Linked DNA regions of Danio rerio. The protein of the gene in region 3 purifies or fractionates together with the protein of the main gene of each other region. This does not show direct contact. Links are inferred from orthologs where the notes say so. Each region holds a gene or a part of one and is shown on either strand. Other genes may lie near its edges.

Evidence for each region. Proteins that work in one complex are often made in the same cells at the same time.
Region 1: the proteins of (E3-independent) E2 ubiquitin-conjugating enzyme UBE2O (region 3) and rpl35 purify together in Homo sapiens (affinity purification with mass spectrometry; 3 studies listed by BioGRID and IntAct, with this or other methods). This does not show direct contact. The link is inferred for Danio rerio from reciprocal best matches to the Homo sapiens genes UBE2O and RPL35.
Region 2: the proteins of (E3-independent) E2 ubiquitin-conjugating enzyme UBE2O (region 3) and recql4 purify together in Homo sapiens (affinity purification with mass spectrometry; 3 studies listed by BioGRID, with this or other methods). This does not show direct contact. The link is inferred for Danio rerio from reciprocal best matches to the Homo sapiens genes UBE2O and RECQL4.
Region 4: the proteins of (E3-independent) E2 ubiquitin-conjugating enzyme UBE2O (region 3) and epb41l5 purify together in Homo sapiens (affinity purification with mass spectrometry; 3 studies listed by BioGRID and IntAct, counting the BioPlex papers as one, with this or other methods). This does not show direct contact. The link is inferred for Danio rerio from reciprocal best matches to the Homo sapiens genes UBE2O and EPB41L5.

Annotation. Positions count from the first base shown.
Region 1 is NC_133196.1:7,130,434-7,135,842, reverse strand, and holds the end of rpl35 (large ribosomal subunit protein uL29), read left to right. Parts: intron 1-1,198; coding exon 1,199-1,280; intron 1,281-3,286; exon of another isoform or gene 3,287-3,398; coding exon 3,399-3,548; 3' UTR 3,549-3,602; downstream 3,603-5,409. Other genes in the region: wdr38 (WD repeat-containing protein 38), read right to left, coding at 3,671-3,817, 4,185-4,232, 5,064-5,216.
Region 2 is NC_133194.1:3,217,148-3,223,456, reverse strand, and holds part of recql4 (ATP-dependent DNA helicase Q4), read left to right. Parts: intron 1-1,070; coding exon 1,071-1,207; intron 1,208-1,294; coding exon 1,295-1,378; intron 1,379-2,004; coding exon 2,005-2,193; intron 2,194-3,755; coding exon 3,756-3,938; intron 3,939-5,666; coding exon 5,667-5,868; intron 5,869-6,309. UniProt on the Homo sapiens protein: An ATP-dependent DNA helicase which unwinds dsDNA with a 3'-overhang in a 3'-5' direction. Does not unwind more than 18 bp of dsDNA. May modulate chromosome segregation. The N-terminal domain (residues 1-54) binds DNA Y-shaped DNA better than ss- or dsDNA.
Region 3 is NC_133181.1:22,119,946-22,126,254, reverse strand, and holds part of (E3-independent) E2 ubiquitin-conjugating enzyme UBE2O, read right to left. Parts: intron 3,534-6,309; coding exon 3,063-3,533; intron 2,863-3,062; coding exon 2,726-2,862; intron 2,597-2,725; coding exon 2,393-2,596; intron 1,326-2,392; coding exon 1,268-1,325; intron 1,163-1,267; coding exon 408-1,162; 3' UTR 1-407. UniProt on the Homo sapiens protein: E2/E3 hybrid ubiquitin-protein ligase that displays both E2 and E3 ligase activities and mediates monoubiquitination of target proteins. Negatively regulates TRAF6-mediated NF-kappa-B activation independently of its E2 activity.
Region 4 is NC_133184.1:30,554,265-30,560,573, reverse strand, and holds part of epb41l5 (band 4.1-like protein 5), read left to right. Parts: intron 1-551; coding exon 552-643; intron 644-2,383; coding exon 2,384-2,545; intron 2,546-2,733; coding exon 2,734-2,798; intron 2,799-3,546; coding exon 3,547-3,669; intron 3,670-6,309. UniProt on the Homo sapiens protein: Plays a role in the formation and organization of tight junctions during the establishment of polarity in epithelial cells.

The DNA.
Region 1 (5,409 bases), on a different chromosome or scaffold from region 3:
CTTCAGCTGGAGTTTTTTTTTAAATATAGTGAGGAACCCAGTTGTCTTAAACCAGGGGTGTCCAAACTTGGTCCTGGAGGGCCAGTGTACTGGAGAGTTTAACTCCAACCCTAATCAAACACATCTGAACAAGCTAATCAAGCTCTTACCAGGTATACTAGAAACTTCCAGGCAGGTGTGTTAAAGCAAGTTGGAGCTAAAGTCAACAGGACACCGGCCCTCCAGGACTTACTTTGGACAGCCCAGTCTTAACGAGTTTTACATGAGCCTCAGGTTTCTTAGGAACATTTACCATTATTTATTTGGGTCAATGTGCCAGCAGATATTTGAGTCTCTTGCATTGCAAAAAAATAAATAGTCTGAAAGAACTTGGATAAAGCTTATTAGTGCAGCTCATGAAATCATATTTTAGGTTTAAGATGACAATTCAGTTATGATGCATGTTTTAATATTGTTATTACTAAAATAAGTATTAACTTTTTATATATAATGTAAATATTGATTGTTGAATTTGAACCTTTTGTGGAGGATACTTTTTTTTTCCTTTAGCTAAATTTATAATAATAATTGATAATTAGTGCAGGGCTAAATTGATTGCATCCAAAACAAGCGTCGACCGTGGATGTACTGTGCATATTTATCTACATGATAAATTTTTGTCTCTAATGTTTATTTTTTGTGGGTTGCATGAATACATGCATTCATGCATATATTGGAGTGTTTGTTTGGATATAAAATGTATAAGATGCAAATTTACTTATGCATTTTAATCTATGTAATAATTGTTTTGTTTTTCCATCACATAAATAATAAATACACCAATATATTACGTGAACTTTTTGTTTTGGATGCAAGTAATCTTTGCCCAGCCTTTAATAATATTTTGAGTAAATCTCAATGATGATAATCATTTGAGTAAATCTTAATGATTGTCATCAACTTTCTATATTTCTATATGAATTGCTTATTCCCGGAGTTTTTTTGAATAGTTTAAAAGAATCATTCATTAATAACGCTTAATTTAGTGTTGCATTTAGTCATGACTGGCCTGAACCAGCTAATCCTTAACTGAAAAATACTTTCATTATCATAAAGAAAAATCAACCTGTCTCTGTCAGTATCACGCAGCCCTATATTAATCAATGCATTCATTGACACGCTTGAATATGCAGATCTAACATTTGTGTTCTCTTTTTAGCCGTGTTGTCCGCAAGTCCATCGCCAGAGTCCTCACAGTCATCAACCAGACACAGAAGGAGAACTTGAGGAAGTTTTACAAGGTCAGTTTAATGCTGATGATGCAATCATCTGCAAATCTATAGATTTTTGTCACTGGAGGGGACTATTTGTGTATTATAAAAAAAATAAAAATTATGAAGACTGGTGAAAACGGTTTCATATTGACAATCCAAATATAATCTGGAACCCCATTATGTTACTGGAAATTTTTGAAGATGTGGTTGTTATCTTAATAAATTAGCTTAATTTGACCTTTAACCAAGTGAGAACCTGTAATGAACATTGCTTTATGGGAATCCAGTGATGAATTGTAAAGCCGTGACTCCTCAGCACATCAGTGCGTCTCCAGCAAGATGATCACCCAGCACTCCTCCTGCTCGTGTGGAGACGGTGTGAAAATCTCTTGCTATAGAAACACGACTTCTCACAGTGGAGTCTTGAAAGACATTTTGATCCTCTGTGAGAAGCCGACAGAACATTTATATCCCGTCATCTGATTGGCTTCAGCTGCAGTTCAGTTCTATTGGAGTGGAGAGCCTAGTTGTTTTGAAAAGGGATGTTACAAAAACATGTAAAACGGAATAAACTTTAGCTGCAACAGTGATTCGTTTTCATTATACCAGCCTTGTTTAAACCAATATTGGGTGCTTCTATATTAGGATATGTTCATATTTCTGAGGTTTTTCCAAGTAATTGTCAAAAGAAAAGTTTTAATTTTTACAAATTCTCTCACGCAACATATCTTATATTCTCAATTGAACGCCTTCATATTTAAAAATAAAATAGCATTATCAGGGTTTCTGCAGGGTCCTAATGTGTTAAATCTCAATCAAAATTCACAGAATTGTGTTGTAGGTCTTGTATCTTTTTTTTTTTTTTTTTTAAATGGGTCTTAATTTTTCTTTGTTCATGTAATGCTGCCAAAACCCATACAATCAACAATCCATCTCCAAACTTTCACATTTGTATATAAAAAGGTAATTTTTAACTCTATCATAGTGGTATAATTCCTTACAATATGATTTGTTTAAAAGTGCTCCATGTAATTACTGCTGAAGACCCTGACCTGGACAGATTGTTGTGCATGCATTTAGTTTATTATAGTTTTTAAACTGAATGTTTGTTAATTTTTTTTTTAAGTTTAAGTTGGAAGAAATGTATATGGATGCAAGTAGAACTGGCTTTTTTACACCATATTTAAAGTATTTGCTGAGAAATCTAGTCAATTTTATTCATTTATTATTGTATTATTAAATGTATTTAATTATAATATATATTTTTTGATAGGGCAAATAAAAATCATTTCCATCTGCGCCATTTAAAAAAAATTTCTTAACCTTTAGCCTTTTATGAGTCTAAAATTTCATTCATAAAAGTCTTAATGTCTTAAAGTCTTGAATTTAACTTGGTGAAACCTGCAGAAACATTGATTATATTCCATTGCCAGAATTTTTTACACATTCTCTGAATACAAAAATTTAATATTTTTTATTATTATAGTTGTTCTCAATTAAATGTGGTTGAACAATTTTTATGTTTTTAAATATTACAAATTTTTCTATTTTACAAGTTTTTATTTATTTTTATTTGCTGAATCTTTACCAGTAGCGAAAGGAAAATCCACAACATGAGTTTCAAAGGAGTAAATCTGCAAGAATTATATTGGTCAGACAAATATGCTAAATTAGTTTAAGAAAACAGCGAGTCCAAGATGCCTGAAAAATTTTGGGAAAAAATATGAAAAAGCCTTCATTGAGATGGGTATTACTTGGAATTGCCATATCAATAAAGACTTTTTAAAATGTATTCCAAATTTTCAGTGCCTTGGACTTACCTTTGCTGTTTATTCCGGATAATCTCTTATCCAATGAGCACCGACGCCTCTGAGAACTTTTTGTTTGATTTTTAGTTTCAGTAGTATTGCTAAAATACAGATGGAACAATTTAAAAGTCTTGGAGTGCTTCAAATTTTGAATGCACAAATTGTGATGTGGGTTGTTTCTGGGAATATTTAAGCAAATAAATAAAGTCAAGATTGAAGCATGTTCTGTGTTCCTCAAATCATGTTTAATCCAGGAAAATTGGTATTTGGAACTGATTTCATAATGAATCATGTCTAAGCTGTAAAATTGAAGTAAACTGGGCTCTTAACTTTTCAGGGTAAGAAGTACAAGCCTTTGGACCTGAGACCCAAGAAGACCCGTGCCATCCGTCGTCAGCTCACAAAACACGAAGAGAACCTGATGACTAAGAAGATGCAGAGGAAATCTCGTCTCTACTCCATTCGCAAGTTCGCCGTCAAGGCATAAAAAAAGCTGTACTTTTGTTTTTCCACTGAAAAATAAAATCCCCCGCTCACCCTGGAGTCAAGATGTGTCCTGAGTCATTGTGTTTCATAAGCAGGAGCAGATAAATGACAGACTAGCCTCATCTAGAGCGTAGGTGTCACTTCTGGATTTGTTCTCCCTTTTTCAGTTGTGTTCTCTTCCTCTTCTTCCTCATTGAGCTGCTCAGAGCCGCTGGTCAGAAGCTCTCCATTAGGGGTGAAAACACAACCATATGCTGAGTCCTTATGACCCTAAAACACGCGCACAGACACACATCAACATTATCGTCATCATGAAGCTCTATGATGCCATAATCACCAGTCAAAGATGCTTAATACTGCATTTTCACCAATGTTTTTAAACTCTGTATGGCAGATGCGGATGTCTTTTTAATGTACAGTTTGTTGAAAAGTTAATGAACAAGTGTCTGGTTTGTTTTTTATTTCTTGTCAGACCATTAAATTTAATTAATTTATGCTTATTCCGTAATTTAACCTGGCAGGCAAGTTATTGCTGGTTCATAATCAGCATAATTTTCCATATCGGTCTGATGTTTACATTTTGCAAGTATTTATTATCCAATTATGTAAAGGTTCTAATAAGATAGTGCATCCCTACCTGTAGCTTCTTCACACACTCCCCAGTGCTCATATCCCAGATCCTCACCTGATAAACATATAACCAAATCAAACTCTGATTATGAAGACCTAGTTTTACCCTATTAAGGTGGTTAAAAGGGAAACGGTTAATCCTGAAATTAAAATGCTTTCACTGGGTCCTTTTAAAATTGTCACAGATTTCCTGTAAATGTTTGGTTTAGGGGTATGAGAGGTAGGTCCATTAAATAAGCAGTTTTACTGTATAAAATACATTACGCTTATGGAGTGTCCCTGTAAACCATGTTTACGTGTATGTGGTCCTGCCGTACAGTTTCGTAGGGACCAAATGGACCCACAAGCAGTGTTGGGGAAAGTTACTTCTAAAAATAATGCATTATAATATTGAGTTACTTTCTAAAAAAATAACTAGTTGCATTACTTTTTATGGTAAGTAATGCTTTACGTTACTTTTCATTTACTTTTACATCACTTTTTCTGACCTTTGCTGATGTTTTGACACATCTCCTTCAGAACTTGCAGGGTTTGTAATGAGTTACCCTTAACACTGCCCCCAACAGGTAATACCACTAAATTTAGACTATTTTATTTAATTATTTATTTTTAAAGTTCCTAGATTCTGCAGGTTACAATGTTCCGATTTTGCTTGCCAATCTTAAGCCTATTGTAATGGTATGTTTTGGTTAAATTTGGAATTTCCCCAACCAATCACAGAGCCCAGGGCACCAGAGTGAGTGCTCCGACTTGGCCCTGCCCTGGTCCTAAATTAAGTAAGTAAAATCAAGTATATTGTAAAATGTTTCGGGGAAGAGGATAGAATATACAGTATAAAAATCATTACGTCTATGGGAAGACGTAACCCAATGTGTGTTTGGTTTACCATGTCGCCTTCAGCAGTAGATGCTAAAACCCGTCCATCAGTGGAGAAGGCCAAACTCCTGACCCAAACACGCTCACAGCCTCCCAACACAAACAGACACGTGTGACGTTCCGGCAGCCAAACACGCACAGTGCCGTCCCATGAGCCTGAGGCCTAAAACACACACACATTGTAAAACCCAATAAGTTAAGATAACTCAAACCATTTGAGGATACCAATTGCAACAAACCATTTAAGTTCATAAACTAATCCTAAAGAGTGCTGTGAACTTAATCCATTTGAGTAAACGAAGCAATTTGAGCACTGTAAAACCCGATGAATAAAGAGAACTTAAACCAACTGAGTA
Region 2 (6,309 bases), on a different chromosome or scaffold from region 3:
GCAAATTATATTGTTTTTCAATGCACATGGGTTAAAAAAATACAATATTAGTTTTGGTAAAAGCATGCACTCATTTTCCATATTTGTTCAAATTTACTGTATGTAAATGGCACATATAGGACAAATATTTCCTTTACAAATATTATTGAAAAATTCCATATTCTATTCTAAAACATAAAACCACTTTGCTAACACTTGTTCAAATCTCATATATAAATCATAAAAATCCGTAGGCTAATGGTTATAATTTACAGTGGGCTATTTACTCAGAAATTAAAAAAATTCTGCTTGATGATGATAATAATAATAATAATAATAATTGTTTATTTGTTTTTATTATTATTAATATTAAGTAGGATATTGTTTATTTATTTAAAAAAAATCATGATCCATGGGAGTGTTAAAAATGGCATAAATGTTTTCAAAGAGCACTACAAAGGGAAGGCAATTTTCAATATGAAGATCACTAAAACCGAACTGTAAAAATAGAGATGATTTTAATGTTGTTGTTGTTTTTTTTTTAAAAATAATTCCAAGTTTAACTGTTGGAACGTTCGAAAGGAATAGGGCATAGGGGGGATAACCAGGAATAGAACACAGCCAGGAACTCTGCTTCTAACCACAGCTCCAGAGGTGTAGTTGTAAGCATTCACGTTTGCGATGCAGTTTGCGAATGTTCGTTGGAATGACGAATTTAGGAAACACCAAATCAACGAACTATGTTTGTAACAACGAAACTTGCGACCTTAGTTAGCTAACAATGGTTTTCGGAAACCCTTATCTGCACAATTAATACATAATTCTAGTTTGACAGAAACGAATGTTCTTTTAAATCTCTGTTTTTATGTTTATAAAATGTTCACTGCTTTTTTGAGTCTTTAAAAAATCTATTTTGCTGAAGTCAAAAGTGCGTTCATTATGGCACACTTACCCTTAGTAAGTTTTAATCTGCTTTCAGATCTCATAGCCATGGGTTTTTACAACTAAATCACTATGAGTTTTATAAGAAGTGCTTAAAAGTAAACCAGATTTTTTTTTTTGGATCTGTTGATGTTTTCGTGTGTCTTCAGGTTTGTCCACACTGGTGGTTTTGTCCACTGGTATGGGCAAGTCTCTGTGTTACCAGCTGCCTGCATACCTGTACGCCCAGAGGAGCAAGAGCATCACGCTGGTGGTGTCTCCTCTGGTGTCTCTGATGGATGATCAGGTACTGCTGGAGGTTTATTACTACTGCTTACGACTCATTTCCAGCAAATAGAAAGTAGTTTGATGGATTTTTGAATTGTTTGTGAAGCTTTCTGGACTCCCGCCGAAGCTGAAAGCTGCCTGCATCCACTCCAACATGTCTGCGAAACAGAGAGAGGCGGCCATTGAGAAGGTAGAAGAGTAATACTAATAAAATGCAACTGATGTCCAATTTCTTGTTATACATACAGTAACGAAGGATAGAGAAATAATTTATTTATTTATTTTCCTTATTTTTTATAGTATTATCAATATACTGTTATATCACTTATAAAAAATATGTCTGTTTTTTGTTTTATAGTATTTTTCTTTCATTAATTTTGCTGTGTTTTTGGTTTTATTTGTAATATTTTTAATTTTATTAAGTTTATTTCTGTAAATTATTTCAGTGTAGCATTTCTCATTTAATTACTATTATTACACTATTATTTAATTTAAATTTAATTAATTTAAATTTAAATTATTTAATTTACTACAATTATTTATTTATTTATTTGTGTGTATTTATGTGTAATAAATTATGCACTATTATTTGACCATTAGAATTTTATTTAGATTTCATTCTTTTAGTTTTAGCTGTGTTTTTCTAGTAATGTTTTCTAGTAATTTATTTAATTTAATTTTATAGATATGTATTTAAATCTACTTTTTATTTTCAATGTTGGTATAAATTTTTACTAACTTCAAATAATTTTATTTTAGTAGTTGCCAAGGTAATATTTTAGTTTTATCTATGTGTGTGTGTGTGTGTGTGTGTAGGTGAAGGCAGGTCAGGTGCACGTCCTGCTGTTGTCTCCTGAAGCTCTGGTTGGTGGAGGTCACTCGGGCTCAGGGTGTCTCCCTCCTGCAGATCAACTCCCTCCGGTGGCCTTTGCCTGTATTGACGAGGCTCACTGCGTGTCTGAGTGGTCACACAACTTTAGACCCTGCTACCTGAGACTGTGCAAGGTGAGTCTCTCAAATCAGCCCAAATGATGTTCCTCCATGCGTGCAAGCAAGGCATAAAATTAAATGCTGCTGCGCCGTTCTTGGTTTTTCAACATTTCAAGCTGATTTTCTGATACAGATTTCAGATTTTTGTCATTTTTAATCAAATCTAAAAATTTTATAATTTCAAAATATAAAGTACAACACAAAATGATGTGACTTGATCTTTGTGTCTTTATGCTACATAAAAAAAATTACTAGTACAAGACAGAAATGGAGGACAGACTGAATGCAAGGAGAAATTAAACTAAACTAAATATTTATTTTTAGTTTTTTTTAAAACAAAGCCATAATTCATACAATAGATTAATCAGTGCACAAGTATCTGAAATGAAGCTCATGCATTGTACATTAAAAATAAATATATACTCTAGATTTAGATGGATGTATTCATTAATTAAATGAATAAAAATGCTATTTTTTTCAGACTTTTTTAGAAATAAAACCTAAACTGCCCAATCAGCAAAGCCTTACACTTGATGATCTATTTTTGTATTTTTAAAACCTAATAAAACTGTGTTAGGATAAAATTAATTTAGATCAATGTTTATTAAATGTGTTAAAGTTTTAGAAATAAAATAGTTTAAAGAGTAAGTCGTCAGCAATGCATATTACTTAGCAAAAATGAGGTCTTGATACAGTTACTGTTGGGAATTTACAACATATCTTCATGAAACATGATCTTTACTTACTATTCTAGTGATTTTGGACCCCAAAAATCATTAATTTTGAGCCTTGCTGCGTATTTTTAGTTATTTTGGCAAAGAGACTTGTGCAACATCATGCTGCGTTCACACCAGACGTGGAACGCGGGTCAAGCGCGAGTGATTTACATGTTAAGTCAATGCAAACGTGCGAATAGACATCCTGTGGCGCGATACACGCAAATGGCGCGGGGCGAATTGAGCGTTTTGCGCGTTTGACGCGCTTAACGAGCGTTTCGCGCGAATCTTTCGAATTCGAAAATCTGAACTTCAGAGTACATTCGCGCCGCGTTAACCAATCAGAAGCTTGCTCTTGTGGGGGCGTGATTGTGACGTACAGAACCTGTAGAATCCTCCAGCCTTCACCGACAACACTTCATCAAACTCGGCTTGGCTCAGTCAGAAGCACCGCTGAAACCCTCTGTCATCCAGGTTCAGTTTCTGAAGGAGTTTATGAGCTCACAGAGCTGGATGCACCTCTGAAAGGATGTAGTGGACTCAGACACGACCCTAAACGTATCGACGCTGTTTTTCAGTCTTCATAAAGCACACAAACACTGTTATTTCCTTCATAAAATCCATGTTAGCCATTTAGCTATGAAGCTAGAGTCTTCGGGCAGACAGAAGCCCCGCCCATCACGCGAATCCGCGTCTGTTCTGAAGTGAATTTGACACGCGAATGAAGCGAGTAAACTCAAATGTTCACGCGGCTATTTACGCACGAATAGCGCGATTTATCCGCGCGTTCCACGTCTGGTGTGAACACAGCATCAGACTGGTTTTGTGCTCCAGGGTGACAGAAGTGTTTGTGTTGTGCAGGTGCTAAGGGACCGGCTGGGCGTTCGCTGTCTGTTGGGACTCACAGCCACAGCCACTCTCTCCACAGCGCTGGACATCGCCAGACACCTGGACATCAGTGATGAGGACGGCATTGCTGTTCGCTCCGCTGCTGTTCCTCACAACCTCCAGCTCTCCGTGTCCATGGACCGAGACAAAGATCAGGTGCGCTCAGACTATTCACATGTTGTTTATTCATTCATTCATTCATTTTTCCTCCGCTTAGTCTCCTATTTATCAGGGGTCGCCACAGCGGAATGAACTGCCAACTATTACAGCATGTGTTTTACACACTTCCAGCTGCAAACCAGTATTGGGAAACACCCATACACACACACTCATACATTACGGCCAATTTAGTTAATCAATTCCCTTATTATGCATGTGTTTGGACTGTGGGGGAACCAGAGCACCTGGAAGAAACCCAAGCCAACACGGGGAGAACATGCAAACTCCACACAGAAACACCAACTGACCCGGCCGGGACTCGAACCAGCGACCTTCTTACTGTGAGGTGACAGTGCTAACCACTGAGCCACCGTGCCCCCTTCACATGTTGTTTTTTTTATTTTTTATTTAAAGGATAACCCTCTTGAGATGCAACATCTGTTCTTCAAGGGGGTTCCATAGAGACATGACAAAAGCAAAACAAAATACAAACATACAATTACAGCACAGAAGCTCTTCCAAACCCCAGACTTCTCCAGCTCTTTCAATTACAGTCAGAAATAATCTCAAATAGCCATTTGTCAATAAGCAATAAATCAGATTAGTCAGAAGAGAACCAATTTTTAATATATACATATTTAACATACATTTGTATGAGCATACATAAACAAATACATGCATAAGTAAACAAATACATGCATAAATAAACAAATACATGCATAAATAAACAAATACATGCATAAAACTATATAAAACAAATATTGAATCATATTAATATGTATATATTTTTTGTTTGTTTAAATGTTTTTGTTTGGTCTCATACAAAAGAAGGTAATGATTCGCACTCAATTGCTTCATACTGTTTTTATTTTTACTTTTTCTTACGTTTTACGGGTGATAACAGACAAACAGACGTTTCGGCACAATGCCTTCCTCAGTGTCTCAATGAGTTTGGTCTCATACAAAAATGTTAGTAATTTAATTATATTGTATTTAAAAATACTTATTTTTTGTAGTTATTTTAAGTTAAGCATTTTATAAATATTTAAATGCATTTCTCTTTCATTTTAAGTACTCGTATATTTATATGCGTTTCATCTAATACTTAAGCATAATATTTATTTAGTTTATAAATTTATTTTAATATAAATTTAAGCTTTTTTATTTGTTTTTTTACTTTCAGTAAACCATCACAGATACTCCAAATCCATTTTTGAATTGTCATCACTCATCATTCTCAAATTATGTCTGAATAATGGAAAACCTGCTGATAATCAAGATGCATTGTTGAACTTGAGCTCTCTCAGACATCCATATTGCCCAAAAATCTTGGTAATATACAGTTGAAGTCAGATATATTAGCCCCCCTGAATTATTCGCTCCCCTGTTTATTTATTTCCCCAATTTCTGTTTAATGGAGAGACGATTTTTCCAGCACATTTCTAATCATAATAGTTTTAATAACTCATCTCTAATAACAGATTTATTTTATCTTTGTCATGATGACAGTAAATAATATTTGACTAGATATTCTTCAAGACACTTCTATACAGCTTAAAGTGACATTTAAAGCCTTAACTAGGTTAATTAGGTTAACTAGGCAGGTTAGGGTATTGTATAACCATGGTTTGTTCTGTAGACCGTCAACAGTATTTATTTATTTTTTGTGCATGCAGTAATTTTAGTTTTGCTCCATGCATTTCTGAAACGTCTCCTTGTGTTCAGGCTCTGGTGTCTCTGCTGAAGGGTGAGCGCTTTGGAGCTCTGGACTCGGTAATCGTCTACTGCACCAGACGAGAGGAGACGAGCCGCATCGCTGCACTGCTGCGCACCTGCCTGCAGGGGGTGATGCTGAGAGAATCCTCCAAACACACAGCGCTGCAGGAGGACGACGACAACCCTGTGGGCAAGAAGAAGAAAGCTCTGGGTAAATACTGCAACGGTACAGTAGGGAGACATCTGTGACTTATTATTCATATCATTACTCAATCACAACAATAACTGCTGTTTTTACATTCTGTAGACATGTATACATGTTATTATAGTGACTTGTCGCCTGTCAATCAATTCGGTGGGTGGGGGAAACCGCACTCCTATGTCACGTTGCGGTGGGTCTCAAAATCACTGGGATTTGGATCCTATTTTATATTTATTACAAGAGACTAAGGGCCCTATCATACACCCGGCGCAGTGTGGCGCAAGGCGCGGCGCAATAGTCTTTTGGTAGTTTCAGCTTGGTGCAAGAGTGGTTTTGAGGCGTTGCGCTTCGCTGTTTAAATAGTAAATGCATTAGCGCTCATATGTGCACCCATAGGCATTCTGGTCTAAAAAGGAAGGCGTTCTGAGGTGGACCGCTGGCGCGTTGCTA
Region 3 (6,309 bases):
AACAAGAAAAAAGGTCTGTCCACCCCAAAGTATCAAAGAACAATGCCTAAGACTGACATATCCAATGGCACAATAAATCAGTTCCTTCTGGCACAGGTTATACCAAATAATCTTTTTAACACATAAAGAGCCCAGGCATTTCTAAATGACTAATCTATGTGCATTTCATCTGTACTTCCCTGAGAGAGCAGTGCGATGGCAGCATTGTTGTCAGTAAAGATAATAATTTTAAAGACTATGTACAGAACAAAAACTGAAGCAACTAAAGATTCAGTACAAAAATTAATAAAGGTTGCTGGGAGAATAGGTGGGCTGATAAGGAGATAAATGTTCCTACAGTGGGTTAAGGTGGGAAAGCGCTGCAAACTGATTGATTAACGAGGGAGAAAAAAAATTCTGGAGGGAAATTATTTGTTTTCTGGGTGTTCAGGAACACCAGCAGCTGTGAGAGTAGCTCGATAATGCTGCAGAACTACACACATGCTCTTTACAAAACCTTTGGAAAGAGGGAAGAGGGGGAATCCAATATCAGGATAACCACTCCGCTCTGGAAGGAAACTACGATAACTCTTTCTCCTTTTCTTTGGTCTCACAGCTGGTTGAGACTCCTGACATGATTTTACACTTTGTTGAGATCCCAAAAAATTTGACATTACTTCAGGAACTTCTGGTATTTCTGATCCTGCACCACCCACCAATGAACTATCACACTCAGAGTTCTGGCTCAAATCTTTTTCAGTTAAACCAGTAGGTCCACTGGTTGCCATTGTAGAGAGACTGAGTCCCGAATCCTCAAAATCTTCTTCGACTTGTATGTCCTGCTTGCTAGAACTGCAGTGGTAAAGAACTGAGGGGATCTCTTCTAGAGGTTCTGCATAGAGGCTTCCAACACCACATCGTGGAGCATGATCTGTGATTGCCCCATCTAACTCTAGCCAGGACTCCAGCCGATGGACCAGCCGCCAACCACTGCAGGCAAAGTGTTCATAGACTTCCTGCTGAAAGACCTCTACAGGCTGCTGAAGAAGCTGAGTCATTGACTGTACCAGCTTAATGAGTGCCATCTCGTTGTAACAGCGACTATTTTCATAACCTTCCTGAAGTCCCCGGTCACTGTCAAAGCCAGCCTCATTGTAATATGGCTCATTGACCAGAATCAGACCTAAAGGTGTAGAAACAATAACAGAACCATAAAAACAAGATCCACTGTGCAGCACTACAATAAATTAATACAATCAACAACATAACTGGAGTGCACTTTTTTTACCTTGTATAGAGATAAGCACTTGAAGTAAACTTGATTTGCTTGTCCATCTTTCAGTACCCTGTAAAAAGATACAAAATCATATATTAAGACTTACCATTATTCAAACAACACAATGGAGAACATCAAGCAACATTCTATTTTAGGACAAAAGTAAAGCAACAACTAAATGGGGTTTGGGTTGGGTATTGTTTGGGGTATTTCAATACCGGTGCTAAATAGATACTTTTGAAAAGGTGCCAAAAGGGTGCCTAAACTGATACTTTTGAGTCATAAAATTATGGTGGATAACTCTGGTAAAATATACATTATATACATTTTTATATATATATTTTTGTTTACCATTTTAATTGAACAGAGTAATTAAAGGGTAAAGTATTTATATTTTGTATATTTGAATTGCATTAATATATTTCTTCTGATCATTTGCTTGTTAACATGAATGCAATATTTGCATTATGTAATTAACATTACATTAGCTTACTACTAACCTGTGGAAAGGCTATCATCAAATTCAGTGAATTTTTTTTTTTTTTAGGGTTAGGGCTTGAATTTATGCGTTTACATGCATACTACACTAATAATCTGATTTTAATATGATTTTAATTTAAGAGTCCTCCATGAGTCCTCCAGTGAATTTTGGTTACCCTTATCAGACTAAAGTTCAAATCTAACTAAACAGAAATGGAATTAAGACGTGGAGTATTCCTATTTTAGTGGCATTATTGAGGTGCTGTAGAGACATGTAAACACCTTAATCAAATTGGTACCATCATGAAGGACTTTGTCACATCTGGCATCAGTATATTCAATACACACATGGCTTTTGATACTCTCTAAACCTATCGAGTCAGTAAAGGACTAAAGAGACCTGCATCACAAAATGCGGAGGTTTTTTATTTATATTCAGCATGCAGTATCAAATTCCATTAAAACAACATGATATACCCCTTGAGGCTTATTCGTCCTTTTCCGCAGCACCAGTGCCACTGAAATTAGGCATCGAAATTCATATGCTAATGCAGTCCAATGCATATCGGTTACATTTTGGTACCCAACCCTAAATGGGGTAGTGAAAATTCAGGAATATGTCAGTCAGAAGTTAGATAAGACAGCAGGTTATCTCACCTTTCCAATCCAGGTGCCAAGAAGGCTGACACAAACCTTTCCATTATCATAAAGGTTAGGATTAAGCCGCCCGCTACACTGAGACAAATAACGGAAAAGAGGAGGAACAGCAGGATAGATATTAGGAAGCTGGATATCAAAGAGAAAGAGTCCATCCTCGTAGGGAGTGCGGTGAGGGCCCTTAATGAGAGCTGAAAAAAGGTCCTAAAAACAGAAAAGCATAATTAAAAATGACTAATCATATCCCTTATTTTAAGGGACATTTTAGAATAATTTTAATAATGTACTAGGAATAGTCTATTTCAAATTAGGTTGTGTGCATGTCACATTCACCATTCTGTCCTCAAAGGTTTTCACCATGATACCATCAGGCAGAGAGGTGGCCAGCAAGGCCATTTCTTTCCTTACAGTGCTAAAGAACTTCTTTGCCTCTGCTGGCTGAAATTCCATTTTTTTAAATGAGTGGGTGTCTATATAAAAAGAGAAAAGTTTTTTTTTTTTAAATTAGAGAATAAAACTATAGAATAAAGAATGTATAGAAAAAAAGGAGTTGCAGTGCTGACTTTCAATGTTACATTTAAGCAAATAACACAAGCAAGTCAGTAATTCCAAGTTGCTTTGTCATGCTTATTTAAAAAAGCAAAACTTACAACAACAAAAAAGTCTGTACCTGGTACCCATTCCAAAACAGAAAACACTTCCCCTTTAGCACTGGTAAAGGTGACACCTGGTTTGCCTCCACTCTGCTGGCACAAAACTGGAGTGTCACTAGGCCATTCAGAACGCACAGGTGTCTGTGGTTCAGTTAACACTGGAGTGATAATCCTTTCCTCTTCTACGGGAGCCTCCATTTTATCTTCTTCAACAATGGCAACATTGTCTAGAGTCTTTTTCAAATTCTCCTGAAGTTTCTTAATGTCATCCAGAAAGCGTTTTTCCTTTGTGGGTTTGATATCAGCAGAAGCTGTGGCAGCAGTTGCAGCTGATGGTTCTGCTGTGGGAGAGGTTGGTGATCCAGTCCAGAGCTGCTCAACAGTCATGTTCTTTAAACTTTCCAAAATCTTTAGGGCTTCTTTAAGCTCACGAAATCCCCTTGGTGGAGCTTCCTTAGTGGGCTTTTCCTCAGGTGTAGCAACACCACCTTAAAATAATTAATATTAATTGTTACAAAGTGTGCACTTTTCACCCAAACCAATAAGCAAGGCATATCTGCAGAAGTTCACAAAATTCTTTGTAGGACCTTGCTCACAGTATCCTGTTTATTTATGAACAGTAGGAAGCAAGATATAATACTTCTACATGAATATACATAAATAAAGCACTGTTTTAGGGTGCTTTCACACCTGCAGATCAATTCTTTTGTTCTGAAACTGGACTCAAATTGTTACAATGTTGCACTTTGCTCTTGGTGCATTTTATTTCACAAAGCAACATTTCTAAATGGAACAAAATAACTGAAACAGGTCACATGGAAATAAACTCTCCTCACATTGGTCAGTTTCAAGGTTTACTCTGCAGAGTCCCATTCACCTGTCCTTATTTTAATTTATGGCAATGAGCAAAAAGATATTATAAGTGAAAATGTGCGCTTTAATTTTGAATGGTGACACCCAGAGACATAGTCACCAAATATAAATCAGACTTCTCATACATAGATGATGGCTAGAATTATGCATAGGCTTTACATGATAGAGATCACTGTCTGATGAAGATCCATGTGACTCGAAATGTTACACGCTTTGTGTCAGCTTTTTAATTTAATAAATTTGTATTTTTGGAGCTTTAGTGTTGCCGCCTTTGCCGTTTTTTGGCTGAGCACCCAGTTTAGAGGGATGTGCGTGCTTTTGTACAGTTTTTCATTTTAGAGAAATAACAGATCAACCAAGACTGCAGTTCAGTAAATAAACAGCTGTTGTTAATAGTTCAGTATGGTTTTAATATCGCATTTGACAAGAAACGCACATTTACCGGTAGGAATGACATACCACCCCTACTCATAATTCTCTCTTCACTGTGATATAGCCTGGTTTGTTAGTTCGTTGGATGGTTTTGCCTTCTCCCTACAATTGATCCACTCCAGAGTTAATTTCAATAAACATGAGACCACCTCATTCTTACAATCTTGGCGTGGATCTATATATATATATATATATATATATATATATATATATATATATATATATATATATATATATGCATGTGTATGCATAGAGAGAGAGAGAGAGAGATAAAAAAAGGAATGTATTTTTATTACTTTTGTGTCTTTACTTTTTATTAGAAAAAAAAATTAGACTAACGACAGATCTTTTGTCTTTGTATGATCACATATATTGACCAAGCATACTTCTGTCTTACTGTGATTCTTTTTGCTGTTGTATATATGCTGGAGTCAGGTAAATGTGTGTGTGTGATCTTGCAAAGACAATGTCAGACACCGTAATATGCTCTGGTCCCTTGTCCGCTTATGGTGTTGACGAGTTATACAGCCAACTCTTATCACTAAATGGCTGGATGTCAAAGTGGAGCCAACTGAATAACATAAGTTTTGTAGACAATTGGCCAAGCTTCTGGGGTAGACCTGACCTGTTGAAGAGAGATGGTCTTAATCCCACCGGGGCTGGGGCAACTCTCCTCTCTAGTAATCTGGCATATAGTTTTAGTGTTGGCTCTTGATTAACTGGGGCCCAGGTTAGGGAGTGGACAGATTCGCTTATTCAGCCTAGCATCCACAGTTTATCTAACTCAGATAATCCACAGCACATAGAGCCACTTAGATATAAGAACATAGAGACTGCGTCTGTTCTTTGAACCTCTAAATAAAAAATAAAAAAAAACTTCCAAACCCATTCAAAGGAAACAATCTATTTGATGTTCATCAAATAGAAAATAAAGGTAATCAAAAGATAAAACTTGAATTATTGAACATCACTCACCTATAAAACTCTTTTTTTTAATCATTTCATAACTCATCTAAAGCTAGATGCACTTTATCTAACAGAAACCTGGCTAAAACCTAACGATTTCATGACCCTAAATGAGTCTTCACCTGAATGATATAATTAAAAACACGAGCTGTGTCTTAAAGGCAAAGATGTTGGCATAATATACAGTAATATTTTTAGTGTTACTTAGCAACCTGACTTAAAATATAATTCATTTGAAGTAATAGTGTTGTATATTTCAGTGTGCAATTTAAACAAATTTTAATCTAAATTTAAATTGTCAACTCTATATATGCCTCCAGGGCACCATACCGACTTTACAAAAGAATTAGCTGATTTCTTATCAGAAATATTTCTGGCCACAGATACATTTTTAAATGCTGGTGATTTTAATATTCATACAGAAAATGAAAAAGATGCTTTAAGTCTGGCCTTCTTAAGGCTGGCTCACACTACAATTTTTTTATAATCCTAAACAATTGTAGCATGTCAGACTGCACGAACATGGCATTCATGTCACATTGTAAGATTTCAGCTGTCATTATGTCAGACTGAATGACAATGAAGATGCAACAAACATGGAAGAAAACTCCCCTGGAGTTTGACGTCATCCCTCACAGCAAACATAAACAATCTGTAGTAGCAATTTTGCACACAGCATGTCTCAATAATGAAACCAGGAAGAAAAAAAAACAGTTTTGACATTTCACCGCTTGTTATTTGATCAGTCACTTAGTGACTGTCTGTGAACATATCAAACCAACAATCAAAAATCACAGATTTTAGCACAGAATTTTAGGAATCTTTGAGGATTTCCCAAATTTGTCTCAGATGACTAATCCGTGGCTGAAATCCCAATGTAAGCAGGGTTTAAGACATCCTAGACTCTGTTGGAGTGGAACAGCATGTCCCAGGGCCTAGTCATCAGCATAATCATACCTTAGACCTAATATTATCACATGGTATTGGTATTGA
Region 4 (6,309 bases), on a different chromosome or scaffold from region 3:
GAAGCACTTGGAGGAAACCCATACGAACACAGGGAGAACAAACTCCAGCAGAAATGCCAACTGACCCAACCAGGACTCGACCCAGTGACCTTTTTGCTGTGAGGGGACAGTGCTAAACACTGAGCCACCATGAAAGGAGTCTTAAAAACATACATGAAAGCTTATTGCTGCTTCGAGAAATATTCCTTTTTCAAATTGCCGTACTGCAAGACTGCAGTTATTGTTTGTTTTTTAAGTTAGACCAGTTCAGATTGTAGAACACTAAATAAAATCATTTCAGAATTTAAAAAAAATCAGCACATTAAAATCTGAAGGATCATATGAGACTGAAGTAATGACCGCTTCTCATTTACCAGCTAGCCTTTTGATATCTTATATGAACTGTATTACTTCTTGCTGTCACACTTTTGTCACACTTTGCCTGTTCATTGTGTAAAGAAATTACCCTTGCATTAAGGTTTTAAACCTTACACATGCAGATGTTTCCATCTCTCTGTATGACTGACCTCTCATTGTTTAGTGAAGCTCACTGAATCAGTTCTTATCCACAGAGGCTGCAGCTCGACTCAAGCAACTAGAGATTGAAAACACTCCAGTGTCTGTTCCAGCCAGAACCAATGTCAACCTCAACATGAACAACCAGGTCAGAGCAGCCATCCAGAAGCCCCTTGCACACACTGAAAACAAAGCTTTTTGTAAATGGTGTTTTTCCAATATGTTTCCTCATCTCGTATGACTCCATAGCATATAATTAAAGCTCCACATAGTCTTTAAATACAAGAACCAGAGACTCTCTTGGCCACACTAACCTCAGGATGTATATTACATTAAATAGTGAATAGGGAAGATGATTACTCATGCTATTACTGCAGTCAGTGATCTCTATATGCTTTTCAGCTCAGTGTCATTTAAGGTTTATTCAGCCTGGTCTATATAATTTAAATCCTTCTTCTGTCACTAAATTTATCCCTATAAGTAATCTGATAATTAAAATTGCATAGTGAAACTTTGTGGAAAATCAAATCCATCTTAAAATGGCTTGAATGTTACTGTAAACTAGGATACAATTTTGTTTGCTTAGTAAAAGTTAACTGTAAATGCTATATACAGTAAAGGCAAATTGAGGTCTTGGTTTAATGGCTATTGCTATGTCAATTTCATAGAGAGATTTATCTAATGCCAAATTATTTATTGGCTAAAATTATCCAGGGAACTCTTTCTGAACAGATTATGTGACTTATCTGTTCTACACAATCAAAGACTGTCTTTTATTTTCATAATTAGTTTTTTTAGGATTTTTCCCCCTTTATTTGATAGGAAGTAGAGAGGGAGACAGTAATGACTTGGCAAAGAACCTCGAGCTAACAATCAAATTATAAATAACAATCATGCTATATGTCAGCACACTGACATCTTTCTGCATTTTTTTTTTAAATTACTTTATTTTAAGGTTTATATTTACATGTATACACACACAGAGAACAAGAACAAACATTGGTTCATACTGTAGATATACAAAGACAATATAAAGGAAAAGAAAAGAGACAACAACAACAAATTGCATCATAGTCACAAAACGTACAATCAGAACTAGAGAGGGTATATAACTATATATATATATATATATATATATATATATATATATATATATATATATATATATATATATATATATATATATATATATATATATATATTTATATATATATATATATATATATATATATATATATATATATATATATATGTATATATATATATATATATATATATATACTCAGAGGGGTCACTGGATTGTTCTTGAGATATAGATTTGTAAAATATATCAAACAATTGACCACAAGTAGCTAAAAATTAAGAAGCTTGTCCTTAAAAATCTGACTCTCCATCTGAATAACAGATATCATGTCGGAAATCCTTTACTGCAGATTTTAAAAGAAAAAGCTAGTGGTAGTTGTCGTAGACTACATTTTGGTTTAAGCATGATAAAACAAGGTAGATGTAGACAAAGTTAAAGCTACATTTTCAAAACAAAGGTCATAAATGCACAGTGCAGACAGATTCATCCTCAGAAAACATTTACTGTTTTTTTTTTTTGTTTTTTTTTTTGGCTTGGTTGTTTTTTTTTTTAATTATAGCAGTTTTGCTCTAATTTAAATTTTTCCTTCAGCTCTTATACTTTTAAATTAAACTCATTTGTTGTTGAGTGAAAGAAACTTGAATGTGTTCAAAATGTTTGTGTTTAGGGCCAACTGTAGCTTATTGTACATTATGTATTATTGAAATTCTCAAATGAGACTGAATTAGTGTTTCTCAAATAAAACCCCACTGCACCTTAATTGTTTTCTTTAATTGGCTTTAACTTGCTCTGGCTTATTTTCAGGAAAACACAGACATTGTGTGCAATTGTGTGCAGGATGATGTGGTGAAACTGACAGAGAAAAGTTTGAACAGTGTGAGCAGCAGTCCTGTCCTGAATCAGCTCAAAGCTCCTGACGAACTCAAGAGCAACATCCTGAAAGCTCAGGCAGAGGCAGCACTTAAGGTATTGACATGCTATTAACACTCATAAGCACTTGAACATTCAGCTTTTCATTTTTTTTAAGGGGATCTCACATTTTATTAGTTCTCTACATGATATACTGCGTGAGTATTGGTACTGTATATGTAAATGACATGTAAACTGGTGATTTATGAATCTAAATGTGTGTAAATGTTCATCTCTTTGTTCAGGATTCAAGAGATGAGCTTGGACTGACTCCAGACAAGAACTGTAACCTGCAGGAAGCAGCAGCCAGGTATAAACACTGTTGTACGTCTGCCTGAATTAAAGACCCAAGCCAGAGATGCATTTAGTTTTTAATAATCTTTATTCTAATTACACCTTCCAACTTGTGATCTTATTTCTGCTTCTTCTTTACTGTACTTCAAGTTGTATGTCAAGTTGGGATCCATTATTTTATAACTGAACTGTTTTGTCTTCTACTTTACAATCAAATCTCTACTTTTTAAGTAACACTATCATTATAAATTGCAATATTGCAGTTGAAAGGTTAGGTAAGGTTTAGTCACTATTTTGATATATTGTAACATGCACAAGCATTTGTCTTTTTAAGGCCAATTCACAGCTGTAACAGATGCCACATTTGTGTCCAATAACACATTGTATCGGCATGTTACCATTGTCTGATTAGTTGGTGTTAGTCGGTGGTCATTTCTGTTGATTGTAGATGTTCATTGGCATTTACCAGACTCTTGTCTGCATTGATTGGCTTCTGTCAGTTCACTAAAGGGTTGTCTGGTTTGTATAACAAAACCTGCCTAACTGCTGATCAAATGACCTGAAAGTGATCCAGCCAGGGGGTAATCTAAAATATTATTCGTTTTCCTTCAGTTGAACCCAATGGACTAAAATCCTTGCCAACAGTGTAAAATCTATAGACTTGGCAACATGGGTGCAGTGTGAATTGACATGATGGTTGTTGAAATGTATTCTTTTTAATAATGAAAATGAATAAATGATGGATGTGTCTGTGTCTTCATCAGATTAACCGGTCGTGGGGGCCGTATGGGAAGCACAACCTCTCTGCCAGTGAGTGGGAGAGCGGAGCGGCAGGAGTCCTGGGACATGCTCAAACAGCCCGGCCTGCTGCCATGCTCTACCAGCAGGTGAGACAGCACACAAAACCTTGGCAAAGTACAGTGAGAAAATTGTACTACTAAGAAGCCTTGCTTTGTTGTTTGAGTGTGTGGATTAAGACGTAGTAGGCCCATGTGAGGGAGCCTGCGGGTCTGTAATCCTCCTGGGACACAGTCAGAGGCAGTGGAGCACAAGAAGGCAGGCAGAATCTGGGGCACACCCAGATTAAATGGGCCACCTGGTCCTCCATCAAGCCGGGGCTTGTTTTATTTCTTTTGTATATGATCATACACTACTATTCAAAATATTAGGGTAAGGAAATAATACTTTTGTTCTGTAAGGACACATTAAATAGACAAGACTTATTTCCCTTTTACATTTACATTTAGTCATTTAGCAGTGGCTTTTATCGAAAGCAACTTGCAAATAAGGACAAGGAAGCAATTTACACAATATAAACGATATTATTGTCATTTTAAGACTATTTTATGCCACTCGTTATATAATGCCAGAATGACAATATAAAAGCATCACAATGCAAGGACTCTCTTCCAAAGAACACAAATTATTTTATTCTTAAAAATATTTGATTTATAGTCATTTTAGCAATTCAATTAGACTGTGAAAACGTGTATCATAAATAAATAATAATTATAATAAATAGATGTTAACAAAAAAGTGCTATAAAATACTATAATGTTAACCATACTGGCACTATCCAATATAGAGAGGTTGCGCGATCACCAAAAATGATTGTTCATTGCCATGTGTTGTGCGATAAGTCAATATATTGGCCTATAAATTTATAGCTGAGTTCATGGACACTCAAATTACATTTAGAAAACAAGTTTTTACATATTTCAGACCAATTTGTATCTTCAATTTCGTGACCTAAATCTTTTGAAGGAGAAGTACGTGAGTTTGACAGAGCTTTGTATATTTGTACAATGGGGAAAAATGTAAACTGATATAATCTTTCAATATTATTATATAATTTATTGCCCTAATTTATTGAATTTTTATGTTAATGCATATGTTCTGCGGCACCTCCTTGCTGTCTGTGGAGCCTTTAACTTCCACAAATTCCATGTTAGTTTTCCTGCTCTTCTCTCTAATTTCTGTTGTTGTCCCACTATTATAGACTACTTTAGTAATAGTTTTGGGTATTTCACTAGTTTAAGTGAGACTATTAGTATAATTGTTGGATGAGACGATGCACTATGATGCCATTCCATCAGTCACCAGAATGGGAAGCCTCCTTATTGTACTTCTATGGTACGGTCTGGTACGATACGGTTCAGTATGCTTTTATGGCCGTTTCCACTGTCAAAAGTTGTACCGAACCGTACCGTCCCACTTTTTCAACATCCTTTTGAAAGGGTACCAAACATGAGAAAGGGTACCAAAAGTTGGGGCTACACGCACAGCTGAATGCTGATTGGTGACAGAGGTACGTCACAAGCTCGTGTGGAGCTAGCCATAATGAAAACAAAGGAACCGCCATGTTTTATATACGGAGCCAAGACATTACACTGTAATACTATATGCATATAATAACAAGCAATGGATGACCCAAGCTCAAACAAAACTTGTCGTTGTCTTGATGCACAGGCACAAAGCCAAGAAGAACAAAATCTGCTGTGTCCTGTTGTTGTTCTACAAGGCCGCCGAAAAGTGCGAGCTGTTTTGGCTTTCTTCAGGAAGCTTGCGATTGCGTCTATATTTGATATAACGAACTTTTGAAGTCAATGATAATAACGTGTGTGTGATTAAAGGACAAGCGCGAGAGTGAAACGCAAACAAACAAAGGAGAAGCCCGACAAAACACAGGAGCAAATTGTTTCAGCAACCTGAATCACGAACAAACTGCCATGTTTATCATCGCCTTTTGGATTATTATGAACTCGGAATGACAGAATTACTCCCTAAGATGGTGGTGAAGATTACAGATATAGATAAGAGGTTTGCACTGACTGTGGTCTATGTTGTGTGTAGTTTTTGAAAGTAAAGTACTAAATGTATGCTTTGTGTTGTTTTTCTGTAAGTGGTAACATATCAGAGACTGTAAGAGTCTGTATGTGTTCATGTTGCATTTATACATTTATTATTTTATATAATTGCAGACGTTACAGTAGGATATTTCACACTGTCATGGATCTGCATATGATATATGAACGACCTGTACATCTTTACTATAGATATTTATTCGAGCGAGAATGACGTCGACTAAAACTTTCTCACACCACGCCCACCCTTGGTAGTGGAAACGCAAGCCTGATAAAGGTGACCCGTACCGTACCATACTGTACCAGTCAGTGGAAAAGGGCCATAAATCAAATAAATGCAGCCTGGGTGAGCATAAAAGGCTTCAAAAATATTTTTAATTAGCATATTAGCTAGGTATGCTCATTATAACCGATTAACCGTTTACTAAAAGGGTGCGTTTTTAACCGATTAATGGTATCAGTTAAATGATTAAAAAATGTTATATATATTTGAAAGTTTTGCCTGCATAAGGGGCTGATCACAACGAACACGCCTTTTTGGGTTGAGAAGGGCATTTTTAAAATGGTTTATTAACGACCGCGAGCCGCATTTTTGCCATTGCTCACTGTGTGCTCGCAGTTGAAAAAAGTAAACTCTGTGTGGAAATAGCGTGTTATAGCAGT